Rattus norvegicus: one gene and its partners. The protein of the gene in region 3 purifies or fractionates together with the protein of the main gene of each other region. This does not show direct contact. Links are inferred from orthologs where the notes say so. Each region holds a gene or a part of one and is shown on either strand. Other genes may lie near its edges. The genes, in order: Polr2j, Cdk8, Med1 and Cdk19.

Region 1 (4,323 bases), on a different chromosome or scaffold from region 3:
GTGGCGAGGAGGAAAGGAGTCCACAATCAGGTCGTCCTCTGTTACACAGTCTGAGGCCAGCCTACACTACACAAGCCCCTGTGTCAGAAGCCAACACAGGAACAGCCTTCTGTGGACAGACCTGTGAGGCCAGGTTGATTTACTGGAGCACAGAGGAGAGTGGAAGACATTTGCAGGACATGTGCTCAGCCTACAGAGCCCTGGTGGTACTGGCAGAGTGTGGTACTCACCCAGTGTGGGGGGAGACTTACGATTTAATGATGTTCCCCAGAGTGTGGTCTTCTTTGTTGATGGTGAACAAGCAAGCGTTGGGCACCTTGGTGTCCTTGTTAATGGTGATTCTGGAAAGAGACAGAGGCAACAGCTCAAGCCCACATCCAGCCTTGGGATACTGGCCCTGAGCATCACAATGTCCCCATTTGTGCTCAGACATTCTTGAACCTGCAGTTGGGCTGTTCCCACTACCTCAGAAATTAAGGTACCTGGCCCTTCCCAACGTATGCGCTGACGAACAGTTCCCTTAAACTAGCTCTTGACTAAGTTCTTACTAAGAAGACAAGAACCAGCTGGCAGTGGTGGTGCCCACCTTTGATCCCAGCGTCTAGGAGGCAGAGGCAGGTGGGTCTCTGAGTCAGAGGCCAGCCTGGTCTACAGAGTGAGTTCCAGGACAGCCAGGGCTACACAGAGAACCCTGACTTGGGGGCAGGGGGTGTCAGGAGACACTTAACCCCTAACAATCAAGGCAGGCCCACATCCATCATTCTGCAAGTCCAAGCTCCACTAGACCCAGTGCTACTGGGAATTGAACCTTGGGTTTTGAGCATGATAGGCAGAGCCCTCAACCACTGAGCTATAGGTCTAGCTCTTGGAAGCCGTTTTCAGTCTGCTCACCCATTAAGGACCCTGCAAGAGCTCTGGCATGGTTCAATAGCCGACCATTTTCCTCCCATGTATAAGCCTCTGGGTCTCTCAGCTCTACCATTCCCAACATTCAAACAAAGTTGGCCTGCCTGGTAGATAAGACCAGTAATCCAGCAACCTGGGAGGCTAAGGCAGGAGGATAAAGAAAAACCTCAGCCGTCGTCCTGGCTTTTCTCTTTGCTTAGGCTAGGGTCTCATTTGCCATGGGGATAAACCATGCTAGCTGACCCTCCTGTAACCACTTCCCATGTCCTTGGAGGAACACTGGAAGCAGAACTCAGCAGTTTTTTTTTTTTGTTTGTTTTTTGTTTGGTTCTTTTTTTCGGAGCTGGGGACCGAACCCAGGGCCTTGCGCTTCCTAGGTAAGCGCTCTACCACTGAGCTAAATCCCCAACCCCGAACTCAGCAGTTTTTATACGACTTCTGGGGATCTACACACAAGTCCTCAGTAAATGTTTTACCCACTGAGCCATCTCCCGAACCGATCAAAAACTGTAAAATGGGGTTGGGGGTAGGGGGTGGAGCTGGAATATAGCTTAGCATAGAGCACCAACCTAGCATGGGGCAGACCCTATGTTCAATCCCCAAATGACAAAAGCAAACAAGAAAACACATCTGCCCTGTGCTGGCCTCCTATCTATACACCAGGGAGCAGTTACTTAAGCAGGTTTTGTTTTTGTTGGTTTTTTTTTTTTTGAGACGGCATTTCTCTGTGTGGCTCTGACTGTCCTGTAACTTTGATCTGTAGACCAGGCTGGCCTCGATCCTCTTGCCTCTGTCTCCCAAGTACTGGGATTAAAAGTGGGTTAAAATTCACCACTCAGGGGTTGGGGATTTAGCTCAGCGGTAGAGCACTTGCCTAGCAAGCGCAAGGTCCTGGGTTCGGTCCCCAGCTCCGAAAAAAAGAAAAAAAAAATTCACCACTCAGCTAAGGATTACTGCTTTTTTCTAAAGCAGAATTTTTCAAACTCAGTACACAAATATTTCTTTCCTTTGTCCACGCTCCTATAAGAGGACAGCCTGTGATCGTCAGCTCTCTCCTTGTACCATAGTGGTCCCAGGGTCATCAGGTCATCAGGTTTGCCTGTGGGCGCTGTACCCTAGCCATCCTGCCAGCCCGGGTCACAGGCATTTTGGACCCAATCCTCCTTTTCTGAGAGGCTGTCTACTACATCTAGGGTCGCTAACAGCATCTGTTGCCTCTACCCGCCGGCTGCCAATAGCAACCCACTCAGGACAACCAGAACCGCTTCCAGACATGGCCAAATGCTCATGCCGATGGGATAACAACAGGGCTCTCAGCTCTCAAGAAGGCTGAAGTAGCTATCAAATGTAAAACAAAAACCCCTGCATAGAAATCTCTTAGGGGGCAGGAGAGATGGCTCAGTGGTTAAGAGCACTGACTGCTCTTCCATGGGTCCTGAGTTCAATTCCCAGCAACCACAGGGTGGCTCACAATCATCTGTAATGGGATCTGTGCCCTCTTCTGGTGTGTCTGAAGAGAGCAACAGTGTACTCAGATAAAATAATTTAAAAAAAAAAAGTCTTTAGGGAATACAAAGTGTCAGTTACAGGTCTGCAGTGTACACTGTACACTGTTCAGACAAACTCGGAAAATCTCCTTGGGGAGTTTCATTATTTATTGATTGGCTGATACAGACATGAGGAGTGTAAGGAACTGTGTCTTTGTCCTTTCACAGCTGCCATCATGAGCCAAGTGTCTGGAGCAAGTCAATGTCCCAAAGCCTCAGTTTCCCACTGCAAAAAATGCATGCATTCGCAAATGCTTCGCACCACTGCCTGAAGTTGGGCAGACACGCACTGAGCAGAACAGAATGCTCAAAGCAAAGCCCGCCTCGGTTTCCCCAGGCAGGAGCAACTCGGCGCTTTGCTGAAGCTGACGGCCGGCAGGCTCCTATACAACCGTCCCCGCCTCAGCCGGTCTCCACTTACTTCTTCTCGCCCTCGAAGAGCAAGAACGACTCGAAGGCCGGAGGGGCGTTCATCCTAGCAAGGCGCTCTCACTCCCAGACACCAACCCGCAGCCGCCTTCCGCCCACAGAACCCCGGAGCGCGACCACTTCCGGGTTACTCAGCCTCAGCCTCAGCCATTCAGAGTAAGCACCTGGCCCTGCGCCCCCTGGCGGGCCGGATGACCTTACGCAGGCGCGGGCAAGGCCCAGGAGACTGCGAGCTGTGGGCATGCGTCAGTCTAGAAGCCCTGTCTGAGTGTCTTGGCGCATACTCCAGCGCCGGGACTTATACCACTTGTTACTGTCTCCGTTTCACCGACTGAATGGGAATAGGAGTCCCAGTGGCTGCCGCTGCAGGACCCCCGGGTGGGCCGACACTAGCGTCCTTATGAAGCCTTCTAGATGAGGACCAGGGGAACAGGAAGGTGTGTAAAGGTTGGGGAGGAGTTTGAGGATGCCAGTGCATCCTCTCTTGAGCACACAGATAAACTAAAAACACGATGAAAGCTTTGCACCTCGCCATTTTTCAGCAGTCTCTGTGGCAGTCTTTTTTATTTTTCCTGTTTTTAAAGATTTTTATTTGCATGTCTGTGTGGGCACGTATATGTAGGTCTAGCCTTTGGAGACCATAAGAGAGTGGGGTCCACTGGAGCATGAGTTACAGGTGGTTGTGAGCCCCACCACCACCAAGTGGGTGCTGGGAATCGAACTCCAGTCCCCTGCAGAAACAGTAAGGCTCTTAACTGCCGAGCCATTTCTCCAGCCTTCGTGATGGTTCATCTTGAAATTTAGAATTACCGCGGAAACAAACCTCTAGGAGGGGCCAGCAAGACAGTCCAGTGAGCAAGGGAGAGTGTGACCAAGCCTGATTACCTAAATTCAGTCCTCAGGACCCACGAGGTGGAAGTTGGGAACAGACTCCTCCAACCTCCCTTCAAGGCATGCACTTGAACACGTATGCACTCACAATGCATAATAATAATCGTAGTCATAATAATAACAACGAAAAAATAAAAAATAATAACAACGAACTTTTGGTTATGTCTTTGAGATTTTAGACAGGTTTGGCTGAGGAAGGCATCATTAATGTGTGTGGCATCACCCGAGAGGCTAAGGTGTCAGACTACAGCTTCCTGGCTGCAGACACAATCAGCTGCTATGAATCCTGTTGCTATGACATCTGCATTGTGATGAGCTGTACCTTTCCGTAAGATGCTTCTGTCCGTTTGTTGTCGCTGTCTTGGTTTTGTTGGTTTTTCGAGACAAGTGTTTCTGTGCAGCACTGGCTGTCCTGAAACTTTCTCTGTAGACCAGGCTGGCCTCGAACTCAGAAAACTGCCTGCCTCTGTCTCCAAGAGTGCTGCCATTTAAAGGCATGGGCCACCAGCACTTTTGTCCAGTTTTTAGACACAAAAACAAAAACAGTAAC
Region 2 (3,691 bases), on a different chromosome or scaffold from region 3:
AGCCTGAAAACCCAAAATGCTTCAAATTTCAGAACTTTTTGAAAGCTAACATGATTCCACAGAGTGAAACTTTGTTTCACATACAAGATTATTATAAACGATGCATGAAATTTCCTTCAGGCTATATGTATAAGGTAAATATGAAATTAAAACACAAGTGAGCTTCAAGTTTAGACATGATGTCAGTCTCCAAGAGGTCTTATTAAATAGGTGCAAGTAAGTGCCCTCTTATCTGAAACATCAAAACTCTGAGACACTTCTGCTGTCTAGCATTGTGGTAAGGGAGCTCAACCCACTGAACAAAGCAAAAGCCTCCAGGCTGGGAATACATCGACTGTTACTCTGTAAAGTGATTTCTAGTGCAGTGGAAGCTGTTTAGTCACTCTCAAGCCTAACTGAAAACAATGGCCTGTCTACCAGCAGTCCACCTTACCCAGAGGTCATGTTCAGCATAGTCAAAGAGAAGCCATACTTTCCGATCAGCATGAGACAGAAACACCTTCTGAAGAGAGATGACGTTTGGGTGCTTAAGCTCTCGAAGTAACTACAAAACAAAGGAGATCCATTCAAAATTTAACACAAAATAATACTACACACACACACACACACACACACACACACACACACACACACACACAAATTAGGTGTGGTAGTGCATACATGTACACAAGGATATAATATGTCTGCTACCGCCGTGGCAGCCATTTCTACCTGGCTGCTAGGAAGTGAACAAAGGTCTCAGATTATGAATGCTCAAGCAGAAAGATTACTTGATATCAGGAATCCACAGTTAGCTTGGGCAACAAAGCCGGGCTCCATCCCAGACACTACCCAGCCACCCACCCACCCAGACCAGCTGCAACGTAAAAGCAATGCAAGTCAATGCTCACTGATACTAAGCATTCAATCAGCACCCACTCAGTATGACTGCTACACAGGTGCTTCATGACAGAAGAAGACACTGAAAAGAGGGTAACAGTAAATCTGTCATTTGCTGCTTGACTTGGTTTTAACTTTTTAACCAAGATTACAGTTTTAGCCACTTTAAAATCTACAAATGGGTGGCATTAAATATAAGTGTTGTAGAACCATCACTACTATTTACACATTTTTAAACATTCCAAGTAGAAAATGCTACCACTGATCCAGGTCTAGGTAAACTCTACTACCTGTCCCTAAGAGTTCCTGTGGTAGACACCTAGCCATGGTGGGTTCTCATAACACCTCATCTTCCTCATGTGCGCAGGCACGGACCTGTAACCCCCAGTGGGAGGAAGGAGAGCTCTGGCTCACTCCTGCGGTGCCCATGTGACTGGTTGATTTTATGTGTGCATGTGTATCTGCTACTTGTGGAGCTAGAGAAATAAATCACCGGATGTGGGTTCTGGTGATCAAACTCAGGTCCTCTAGAAGAGCGGCGAGGGCTTTACCACTGAGCCGTCTCCCCAGCCCACCTCTCCCTCCCTCCCTCCCTCCCTGAGACAGGAGCTCTCAGTGGCCTGAAATTTACCACTGAGGCCGGGCTGGCTGTTGCCCCAGGAATCTGTGCTCCTACCTCCTCCTCTGAACTGGGATTGTAAGCGCCAGCAGGTACAGCCATGCCTAGCTTTTCTGTAGGTTCTAGGGGTCAAACAGGACCTTGAAAGCTGTTTATCCACCCAGCATCACTCATCCTTTCACATCTAGTTCATTCACTCAGTGCTATCTTCAAGGTCCACCCATGTTGTAGCATGTAGCAGGGGTTTTGGTTTTGATTTTTCCTTTTTTATAGGTAAGAGCATTCATCCCATTATATGGAGACACTCCTCACTGTACTGTACTCTGATAAAGCCATCAAAATGCACCGACACGGGGTTGGGGATTTAGCTCAGTGGTAGAGCGCTTGCCTAGCAAGCGTAAGGCCCTGGGTTCGGTCCCCAGCTCCGGGGGAAAAAAAAAAAAAGGAAGACCGACACGACAGCGCACATGTGTACTGAGGAGCGGTCAGTGGAGACAGGTGGGTCCCGGGAACTAAACTGGCCTTTAATAGAATTTTTTTTTCATTTTTTAAAGAACTGGTTAATCTTCACAAAACAAAAGGTATAGCCATACCAACTTTATTCACAGAAACCACTTGCTTTTCCAATTTTACCAGTGGGGGAAAATTTTTAAATGTTTTGAATATATATCTACTTCAAATTTATTATTCACTGTGAACCTGATTTACCACAATGGGCATACTTAACTTAAACTTGTACAAAAAATATTTAAAAGCACACCACGACAATATATGCCACTCAGAAATGAGGAAAAAGTAGGTAGGAAAACTAGTTATATTTTCAAAACAGCAGTGTTTCTTAAAGAGTTCTAAGTTTGTGGAGTACATGTGGAGTGCATGTGTGTGTGCAGGCCAGAAGACAACCTCTGGGGTCATCCTCAGGTCTGCTACCCACCTCACCTCCTTCTGAGACAAGGTCTCTCATGGGCTAGAAGCTCACCAGTGCAAGGCTGGACAGCGGGAGGACACAGGGAGCCTCCTGTCTTACTCCCTGAGCACTGGGATGACAAGCCTGCCCCGCCACAGCACTGGCAGTCATTTCTACTTGAATCCCGAGAGCTCGACAGGTCTCAGTGACCGGGAGGCAAGTATGTTACCAACTACCGTCTCCACCTCTGACACCATTCCAACATTAACAACTCCTAATGCAAAAACAGGTTCTGAATGTAGACCTCGAGTACGGTGATAGATAAACCGAACCTGAATTATGACAAATCTATTTCCAAAAGACAATTACACTGTAGACTCTTTCTTTAACTTCGATCTTCCCAAACTCTTAGAAAAAGATGGAAACAGATGCTGAGGTTGGAGAAGTGTGTTGGGAAAGCAGACTAACCATGGGCCTGCACCATCTATCAGACACTCTCTGGGATACTGGGGGCCAGCTGATTTCTGCACAGTTGGCCAGAACCCTGAACTAAAGGGATTCCAGTCCACAGGAAACTTTGGTGAGGAATGTGACAAACAGCAAAATGGAAGTGTTGTGAGGACACCTCCCCTGGAAGGTTCTCTCCTCCTTCCTGAAGAATGGCTGCACAAAATCTAAGCCATGCTGCTGTGTGTCACAGTCTAGCCTGCATAGGGGTGGCAACAGATCACAACGAACAACGGGAATCCTAAGATTTTTATTTGTAATAGATATGAAAAAACTGAATGAGTGTGAGCATGTTAGTAAGAGGAGGTGTCAGGGCAAACAAAGATGGACTTGGTTTCCTCCCTTGCCTTTTATTACACGGTCTCCCTGAGTTAAGCCTGTCACTTACAGTCACTGTATGTACATTCAAGTTCATTCCTCTCTCCACCAGATAGTATATATACCATTTCATCAGCATCTCGGTACGTACCTCAAAAGCAATCTTTTCTCAACACAATGAAAATCAATAACAACCAGCAATGATAACGTATCCAGAAAAGCCTCCTTGTACATTTATAAAGTAAGCAACTGATTTCTAAGTAACTAATGGATACAAAGAAAGAAAAAAAGAAAACTGAAAATATTCTGTACTATAATAAAACAATAAAACATCACAAAACGTGTGGCATGAAAGTAAAACACAGGTTGGAGGGAATTATAATTTTAAATATTTATAGTAGGAAAGAAGAGTTTACAAGCCAATAAACCACTTAGCAAAATGGAGAAGCACAAGCCCAAAA
Region 3 (3,691 bases):
AACTTGTAGCTGAGGTGGGCCTCTAACTCAAATCCATTTTTCTTTCTCATTCTGCAGAATGCTGGGTGGACACACAGGACCAGCATTCCTCTCTTTTTAGTGCTGAGATCTTTTTCCTACTTATGAGGTAGAAAATCTTTTTTTCTTTTTCTATTCCCAGTTCCTCGGTCTTTGGGAATGAATGCCTCAGTGACAATTGAAGGAACCTCTGCTATGTACAAACTCCCAATTGCCCCATTAATTATGGGGTCACACCCAGCTGACAACAAATGGTAAGATACAGTTTTAAAGTAGCGAAGTCTGTTTTTCAGCTTCAAGCGCAGTGTGAGCCATGTTTTATTTGTCTTGTCTTCCTGGAATGTTTAGATGTTGCCCTTTGCGTCCGTGCACGGACTTTACTCCTGTTCTTTACTGGAGTGTGTCTACTTGACACACACACTTGTACACATTTGTTTTTAAATCGTTTAATTTTTTTATTCTGTGTGTGTGTGTGTGTGTGTGTGTGTGTGTGTGTCCGCGCGCGTGTTGCCTGTATATTGTTCTTTGCACCATCTTTGTACCTGGTGCCATCAGAGGCTGGAAGAGGCCATTAGATCCTCTGGGGCTAATGATGGTATGAGCTGCCTCGTGGGTGCTGGGGATTGAATACAGGTCTTTTAGAATACCAGATAGCACCATTAAACACCAAGCTATGCCAGTATCCCCTGTAGACCATAGTCTTTGCTCTGAATAAATGAGTTGGAGTTTTGTGCTGGTTTTTGAACCCAGGACTACAAATACCTGCACACAGAGCTGGACCGTGAGCCCCACTGTACATACTTAATTAAGTACTTCACAATTAACAAGGTAATATATTTTGAAATTGCATCGAGGATAGTAGAAAAGTAAGCTTTTGATAGACCTTGTGGGTTTGTGTAATATATACATGTCTGAATAAATGTGTTCATAGTTTTCAAAATAGAAAATTTTCCCCTCTTCTTTCTTTGAAGGACCCCTTCTTTCTCTGCAGTCACTAGTGCCAACAGTGTTGATCTTCCTGCGTGTTTCTTCTTGAAATTTCCCCAGCCAATCCCAGTATCTAAAGCATTTGTTCAGAAACTGCAAAATTGCACGGGTAAGCTCTGTTTTTTAAAATGTTTGCCAGCCTGTAATAAAGGAAGGTTTACCTGTTAAGATAAAACTTGTTAAAGTGAGAGTGGAAAACATTAGACTATCTTAAACAGCTTACAGTCCTCAGGCCTCAAGGACGTGCTACTGAGTACAGGTGTTAGGACATTACTAGTAGGTAGTACTAGTGCTCTCTGAGAACTTTTGGATGTGGGTGAAGGCATGGAAAGTGCAAGAGAGAACAGTGGAGCTGTCTGGAGAGATGGCTCAGCGGCTAAGAGCACTGACTTCTCTTCCAGAGGTCCTGGGTTCAATTCCCAGCAACCACGTGGTGGCTCCCAACCATCTGTAATGAGATCCAGATCCAATGTCCCCTTCTGATGTGACTGAAGACAGCAACAGTGTACTCGTATACATGAAATAAATAAATCTTTTTTAAAAAATAATGTGACCATTATAAATAGTCCTTATATTTTCAGGAATCCCGTTGTTTGAGACTCCGCCTACTTACCTGCCCCTCTATGAACTCATCACTCAGTTTGAGCTGTCAAAGGATCCTGACCCTTTACCTTTGAATCACAACATGCGATTTTACGCTGTAAGTAGGCCCTGTGGGTTTGCAACAATGTTCTTTACAGCATTAGTCAGGTTGATGGCTTTCTTTTAGATGGCTTAATTTTTAGTTGGGCAAAAAAAAGTCATCTTAAACATACTAAAGCAAAAGAGAATGAGCTTTGAGTTCAGAAACAACCACCTACATTTCTGTCTATATCAATTTATGTGCATCAGTGTTTTGCTTATATTTGATTAAGTATATGTATAACCTGCATGCCTGGTGTCAAAGAAGTAAGAAGATACCTAAGTTAGCATTACGGACGTCTGTGAGTGGCCATGTGGATGCTGGGAACTGAACCTAGGTCCTTTGGAAGAGCAGCAAGTGGCTGTTAACCAAGGAGCATTCTTTCTTACCCTCTTTGTTCTAGACAGGTTCTCATGTAACCCAGGCTGGCATTGAACCTAGCAGAGGGTGATCTTAAACGTCCTCTAGGTTGCTGTGACTATAGGCATGATGAGAAGTGTTTACAGAGGAAGCCAGGACTGGTGGAACATAGTATATGGGGAGTGGAGGCTTAAGGATTCCTCGACTTAGGGGTAGCAAAACCTTTTCTCAAAAAAGCAATAGAAAAAATGTTGTATCAGAATTAAAAATCTTTTAATGCTGTCTTGAACTTTTAGAAGGTTGAAAGATATTAAGATTTTTTATTTTTGGGGGCTGGAGAGATGGCTCAGTGGTTAAGAGCACTGACTCCTCTTCCAGAGGTCCTGAGTTCAATTCCCAGCAACCACATGGTGGCTCACAACCATCTGTAATGGGATCTGATGTCCTTTTCTGGTGTGAACTAAGACAGCTACAGTGTACTTGTATATAATAAATAAATCTTAAAAAAAAAAAAAAGATTTTTCTTTTTATTCTTTTGAGGGCATGGTGCCACACCTTTATCCCTGCACTTATGAGGCAGAGGCAGGTGGATATCTGTGAGTTCAAGGCCAGCCAGGGCTATAGAGAAAAGCTCTTAGTTAGGATTTTATTGCTGTGAAGACACCATGACCAAGGCGACTCTTATAAAGGACATTTAATTGGGGCTGGATTACAGGTTCAGAGGTGTGGTCCATTATCATCAAGGTGGGAACCACGGCAGCATCTAGACCTGAGAGTTCTACATCTTCCTCCAAAGAACTAGAAGCAGGCTGTTTCCTGGAAGCTAGGAGGAGGGTCTCAAAGCCCACCCTCACAGTGACACTCTTCCAACAAGGCCACACCTCCTGATTGTGCTACTCCCTGAGGCATGCACATTTAAACCACCTCAGAAAGCCTTCTCAGAGTGGGAGGAAGAATTGTTTCTTAGGCCAAGTGTGAACAGTGAGGAACCCCCCACCCCTTTTTTAAAGATTTATTTATTTTATGTATATGAGTACACTGTCCCTGTCTTCAGACACACTAGTAGAGGGCATCAAATCAGATCAGAGATGGTTATTAGTTACTATGTGGTTGCTGGGAATTGAACTCAGTCCCTCTGGAAGAACAGTCAGTGTTCTTAACCACTGAGCCATCTCTCCAGCCCCAAGATCCTGTCTTAAAAGGGAAAAATGGTTCCTTTTAATTTACTATCTTTATGTATATGAGTGTTTTCCTTGCATTTGTGCCCACATGAAAGCCAGAAGAGGTTGTCAGATTCTCCTGAAATTGGAATTACAGACTGAACTGTCCTGTGGATGGATGGGTGCTGGGAGCCAAATCTAAGTTGTCTGAAAGAGCAGCATGGGCCCTTAACTGCTGAGCCATCTCTTCATCCCTAGCCCATTGAGTGCTACAGCAAGAACCCTTAACTACAGGGGGAGGACAAATGCTATGTATATAAATTATGAAAGGCCCCGACTTCCTATGGACTTGAATTTGATATGAATGCTTAGCTTATACAGCATTGAAGCTCTCTAGTTCTAGCTATAGTATCATTATACAGAATGTTTTAAGATACAGCTTTGTAATTCTTTAGAAACTGCTAGTATAAATTTCTAAGGTGGT
Region 4 (4,335 bases), on a different chromosome or scaffold from region 3:
CAAAGTCCTGGGTTCAAGAGATTCTCCTTGACTCTGCTAAGAGCAGCAGGGACTACAAGTGTGTGCCACCATGCCTGGTCTAGTATGCATGGGAGTCCTACACGATGAAGTCGAAAAGCTAGATGATTAAAGCTCAAGACATACAGAAAGGAACAAGAATTGGAAATTTTAGTAGGTAGCAGAGATAAATGAAGAGAGAGGGAAGGAAATGAAGAGGGAATAATAAGTCGATTCTTTTAGATGGCCTCCCGGGCAAGGTTGTCTACGAATAGCTAAGCTGCCTTTCTGACACAGATACCTTATCAAATTTCCCTTATAAATTTAACCTTGTTACAAAAATGCTGCCTTTTATTTTAGGTAGTGGAGGGGAGCTGAAACGTGCGTGTCAGATGGATATCAATTCTTTTCGTTTAAAAGCAATCAGTGTGCAGAGGGACACATTTTTAGCAAGGCACTTTCCAGGCTTTTACAGTCCTACTTTGAGGTGACGGGTTCCGAGCTTCAGACACCATAACGAATGAACATCATGAGTAAGATAAATACCTAAAGCCCCTAGGTGAGCCTTGCCATTACGCACAGACTGTAAAAAACGCTTTACAAGCCAGCAAAAATGATTGTTTCTAAAACGCTGCATTTTTGCAATCTTCCAGGCGCTTTAATTGTTCTCAGACAGATGGTTAAAGCTCGGCTACCGCACCCGCATATGCTAGGATAAAACCCGACTACAGCGCCAAGAAAAAGATGATTGGCTGTGGGCCCTAGAAGTTACACGGTTCTCCTAGCAAGAGCTGAGAAACCGCTGAATGTTCAGGTTTTGAAATAGGGTTTTTGCATCGTAAAGAAACAAGATTAACCTATCAGGAAGAACCGAGCACATCCAATTACCAATCAAGAGCGGGACAAAAGCCAAAGCCGGAGGATACCCAGGCACCAAAGAGGACGCCACTCTTCAGTCTCTGCCAATAAGACGAGGCAAGGGGCGGGGCAACAAGAGGATCAATTGCCCAAGAAAACAAACAATGTGTAGTACAACTGTCTAAACCTCAGTCCTAAGCTCCGGGTGCGACGGAATGAGCTCCTGAGCAAGGCTCTCATGAGCTGCTTGCCGCTCTTCTAGCCCAAGGATTGTCAGAGCCAGGTTGCTTCTTCCCGGCTCAACAAACGCTTCCTTCCCGCCAGCTCCCACAGGCTCGCAAAAAGCCCGCTGCAACTTTGCGCTACAGTTTACAGGAACAGGGAGTCGCGCGCTACCTGAGGGGGTGGGGCGGCGGCAGTGCGCAGGCGTACACGCCTTGTGGAGGCGAGGCCGAAAAGACTCAATGAACTCTGGGAATTGTATTCTTCGCGCTCGAGGGGGTAGCACAACTCACCAGGCCTCTTGAACTACACTTCCCAGGAGCGCTCGCGACGTCGGGGCGGGCCGTTTGGTTCGTTAATGAGTTCGAGAAAGCCGCGGCGCGGCCCACCAGGTTCCAAAACAAGGAAATGAAGGGAGGAGGCGGGACTGTGGGTGCCTGCGGGAGCCGCCGCCGCCGCCGCGGAGGAGGAGGAGGCGGAGGAGGTGGCTGCCGCGGCCGCCGAGGAGTCCCTTGCTGAAGGCAGACCGCGGAGCGGCGGGCGGCGCGCGCGCGCCCGAGCGACGGCTGTTCGAGAAGTGGAGCGGCGGCGGCGGAGGAGGGACTGAGTGGCGGCGGCCCCCGCGTCCCGGTTTCTCTATGGGGGAAGCAGACAATGGATTATGATTTCAAGGCGAAGCTGGCGGCGGAGCGGGAGCGGGTGGAGGATCTGTTTGAGTACGAAGGGTGCAAAGTGGGACGCGGCACCTACGGGCACGTCTACAAGGCGAGGCGGAAAGATGGGTAAGAGCGCGGGCGGGGAGTGGGCTCGTCCGGTCTCCTCCACTGCTGAGACCCGGAGGGCTGGGTGGGTCGGAGCCCACGGGAAGAGGCGGCGTGGGTCGCAGAGCGACGTCCTGGGGCCAACTCGGAGGCACTGGTGCTGCCGCCCCCCGCTGGCCGGTCGCGCCCCTCCAAGTCGCACAGCGTAGCCCCGTCGGGGGCGTCGGTCCCGCCTGGAGTCACTGTTGCGAGCTTAACAGCGGGCGGCGGGACCCGGTGGAGACCGCGCTTGGAGGTGGAGTTTAGGGGTCTGGTCCCGGGGGGACTCTCGAGGGCTTGGCTGAAGAGTTACCGGTTTGGCCCTGTGCTGGTGACGGTCGTGGTGGAACTTCCAATCGGCGCAGCGCCTTCCCGGGGCGGCGGTTTGAAAGCTCGCGGGGGCGCCTCCCGTCTGGTGGCCCTGCGCTTGGGGTCCTGACTGGCCCCTCTGGTCTGACTTCCTCGACGTTGCCAACCCAGCCTACATCCCTGGTGTTTACCTGGGGACTTCCCGATCCTGCTCCCGATTCCCACACTTTAATATTTTGAATTCAGCACTCTGAAGGTGGACCCTGGAGAGAGATTAGCTCTATATTACAAACTTCAAGTGCTCTCTGGTTGGTTACCTTTCCTGCCTCGTGATTATTTTAGGTAAACCCCTCCCCAGCCCTTATAAGATAGGGTCTCTCTCTGTGCACCCTGGTTAGCCTGCAACTCAGAGATCCGCCTGCCTCTGCCTCTCAAGTACTGTGATTAAAAGGCGTATGCCACCACACTCGGCCCATTTCTCTTTTCTTCAGGAAGAAATCTTGAGTATTAATATTCTCCAGTTCTCATCCTCTGTCAAATGGCTGTGAGCTTTGGTTTATCGAGAACCTAGACCACCAAGAACAGAAAACGGAAGTGACAGGCTTGGGCCTGGACCACCGTTTTCCTAGTTGAGGGGATCTATAGGAATCTCTTGGGAAGTCTTTCTGGATTGTTATAGCAGTAAAGGACAAGTTGGATAAAGCATCGAGAATGTACCCCTCGGGCCAGAGGGCAGACCAGTTTGTAAGAACAGGACAGGTGGAACCAAACTTGTGACCTGGCAGTGGTGGGTTTTGTCACCTTGTCCCAATTCCGGAAGGAATTCCTTTCTCTTAGAAAAAGATTCAAGCAACTGTCAGACTATACAAAAGGGAGACTGTGACTGCTGGAGCATTTGAAAAGCAGAGCATCAGCACACCTCATTGAAAGTGCTTCTTGGCTGTGCTTTGATAAAGTTGGTGAGGAGCTCCAGCATCAAAGCAAGCAGTGCGTTTGCTAATTTTATAAGAGGAAAACCAGAACACAATCATATGAAGTGTTTCATACATGTACCTGGAAAACTACAGGTAGTGTGTGGGTTTCAAGGATGATGATTAATTGCTGTTGCAGTAGAACTGTACAGGCCAGGCCACTCAGTTGTCTGAGCTGTTTCTTTTAATTACCACGTGTCCCCAAGTGCACACCGGGCGCTGTAAGGCACTATACTTGACTTACACTTTGGTTTTGGAATATCCACTCTACTGGTTAAGTTGGTGTTCCAGTGGGAATCTACACAGGATGTTCGGGGAAGGCAGATCCGCTGCTCTGATTGGACAGTGTTGTTACACTGTTGGTCTGGATTTTCCCTATCTCCCAGAGACTGTGCTAACTTTGTTTTTACACTTATGTTTTTATTTGCCCTGAAACTTTGAGAGAAATTAACAGTTCTGATTCTGAATTGCATAGAATGGCTGGGTTTACAACAGAAACACTTCTTATTTCTACTTATTTTTCAGTATGTCTCTATAATAAGGATATTGATTCAAATACACTTATTCTTTGAGTGAAATCGGTAAAGTAGAATACATAAGGTCAGTTTTTATATTTTCAAAGTAGAATTAAAAAACAAACAAAACATTTAGAGCTAGGCAAGCACTGGCAGTTGTCTGAGTTCCAGGCCAGACAGGCTACACAGAGAAACCCTGTCTCAACGAAACCAAACCAAAGCAAAAACCAACCAACAAAAACCGCCTAGAATATGAAAATATCTTGTCAGACCGTTGTACCACATGTTCTCACGTAAAACAAGCCATGATAGGCTTTATTTTTGTGGATCAGTGTCTGGTTACGATTCCTGGCTTTACACTAACACTTGCGTCTCTGGTGATTTGGCAGTGGGATTAGTTTTATGTTCATCACTAATCAGCCATTTGACAGAACAAAAGGTTTTAGTGGTAGTTCTCAAAGGTGACACAGATTTGGATGGTAAAGGATTCTATTGTCTGGTCATTCTAAATTACAGTCCCCTCTTTTTACATTTTGGTAAGCTCCGGGAAAATGAGTAGTGCTTGATGCTATTTTAGGGAGCAAGAGAGATGAGGCCTGCTAGAGAGAAATAACTCTAGCGTGTATAACACTATTACATATACATACATATATGCATTTATAC

What was found.
Region 1: the proteins of Med1 (region 3) and Polr2j purify together in Homo sapiens (affinity purification with mass spectrometry; 3 studies listed by BioGRID and IntAct, with this or other methods). This does not show direct contact. The link is inferred for Rattus norvegicus from reciprocal best matches to the Homo sapiens genes MED1 and POLR2J.
Region 2: the proteins of Med1 (region 3) and Cdk8 purify together in Homo sapiens (affinity purification with mass spectrometry; 14 studies listed by BioGRID and IntAct, counting the BioPlex papers as one, with this or other methods). This does not show direct contact. The link is inferred for Rattus norvegicus from reciprocal best matches to the Homo sapiens genes MED1 and CDK8.
Region 4: the proteins of Med1 (region 3) and Cdk19 purify together in Homo sapiens (affinity purification with mass spectrometry; 7 studies listed by BioGRID and IntAct, counting the BioPlex papers as one, with this or other methods). This does not show direct contact. The link is inferred for Rattus norvegicus from reciprocal best matches to the Homo sapiens genes MED1 and CDK19.

What each region holds. Positions count from the first base shown.
Region 1 is NC_086030.1:26,182,223-26,186,545, forward strand, and holds the start of Polr2j (DNA-directed RNA polymerase II subunit RPB11-a), read right to left. Parts: upstream 2,980-4,323; 5' UTR 2,928-2,979; coding exon 2,875-2,927; intron 342-2,874; coding exon 252-341; intron 1-251. UniProt on the Homo sapiens protein: Core component of RNA polymerase II (Pol II), a DNA-dependent RNA polymerase which synthesizes mRNA precursors and many functional non-coding RNAs using the four ribonucleoside triphosphates as substrates.
Region 2 is NC_086030.1:13,886,876-13,890,566, forward strand, and holds part of Cdk8 (cyclin-dependent kinase 8), read right to left. Parts: intron 545-3,691; coding exon 434-544; intron 1-433.
Region 3 is NC_086028.1:83,654,359-83,658,049, reverse strand, and holds part of Med1 (mediator of RNA polymerase II transcription subunit 1), read left to right. Parts: intron 1-160; coding exon 161-272; intron 273-989; coding exon 990-1,114; intron 1,115-1,586; coding exon 1,587-1,705; intron 1,706-3,691. UniProt on the Homo sapiens protein: Component of the Mediator complex, a coactivator involved in the regulated transcription of nearly all RNA polymerase II-dependent genes.
Region 4 is NC_086038.1:45,323,439-45,327,773, forward strand, and holds the start of Cdk19 (cyclin-dependent kinase 19), read left to right. Parts: upstream 1-1,472; 5' UTR 1,473-1,731; coding exon 1,732-1,859; intron 1,860-4,335.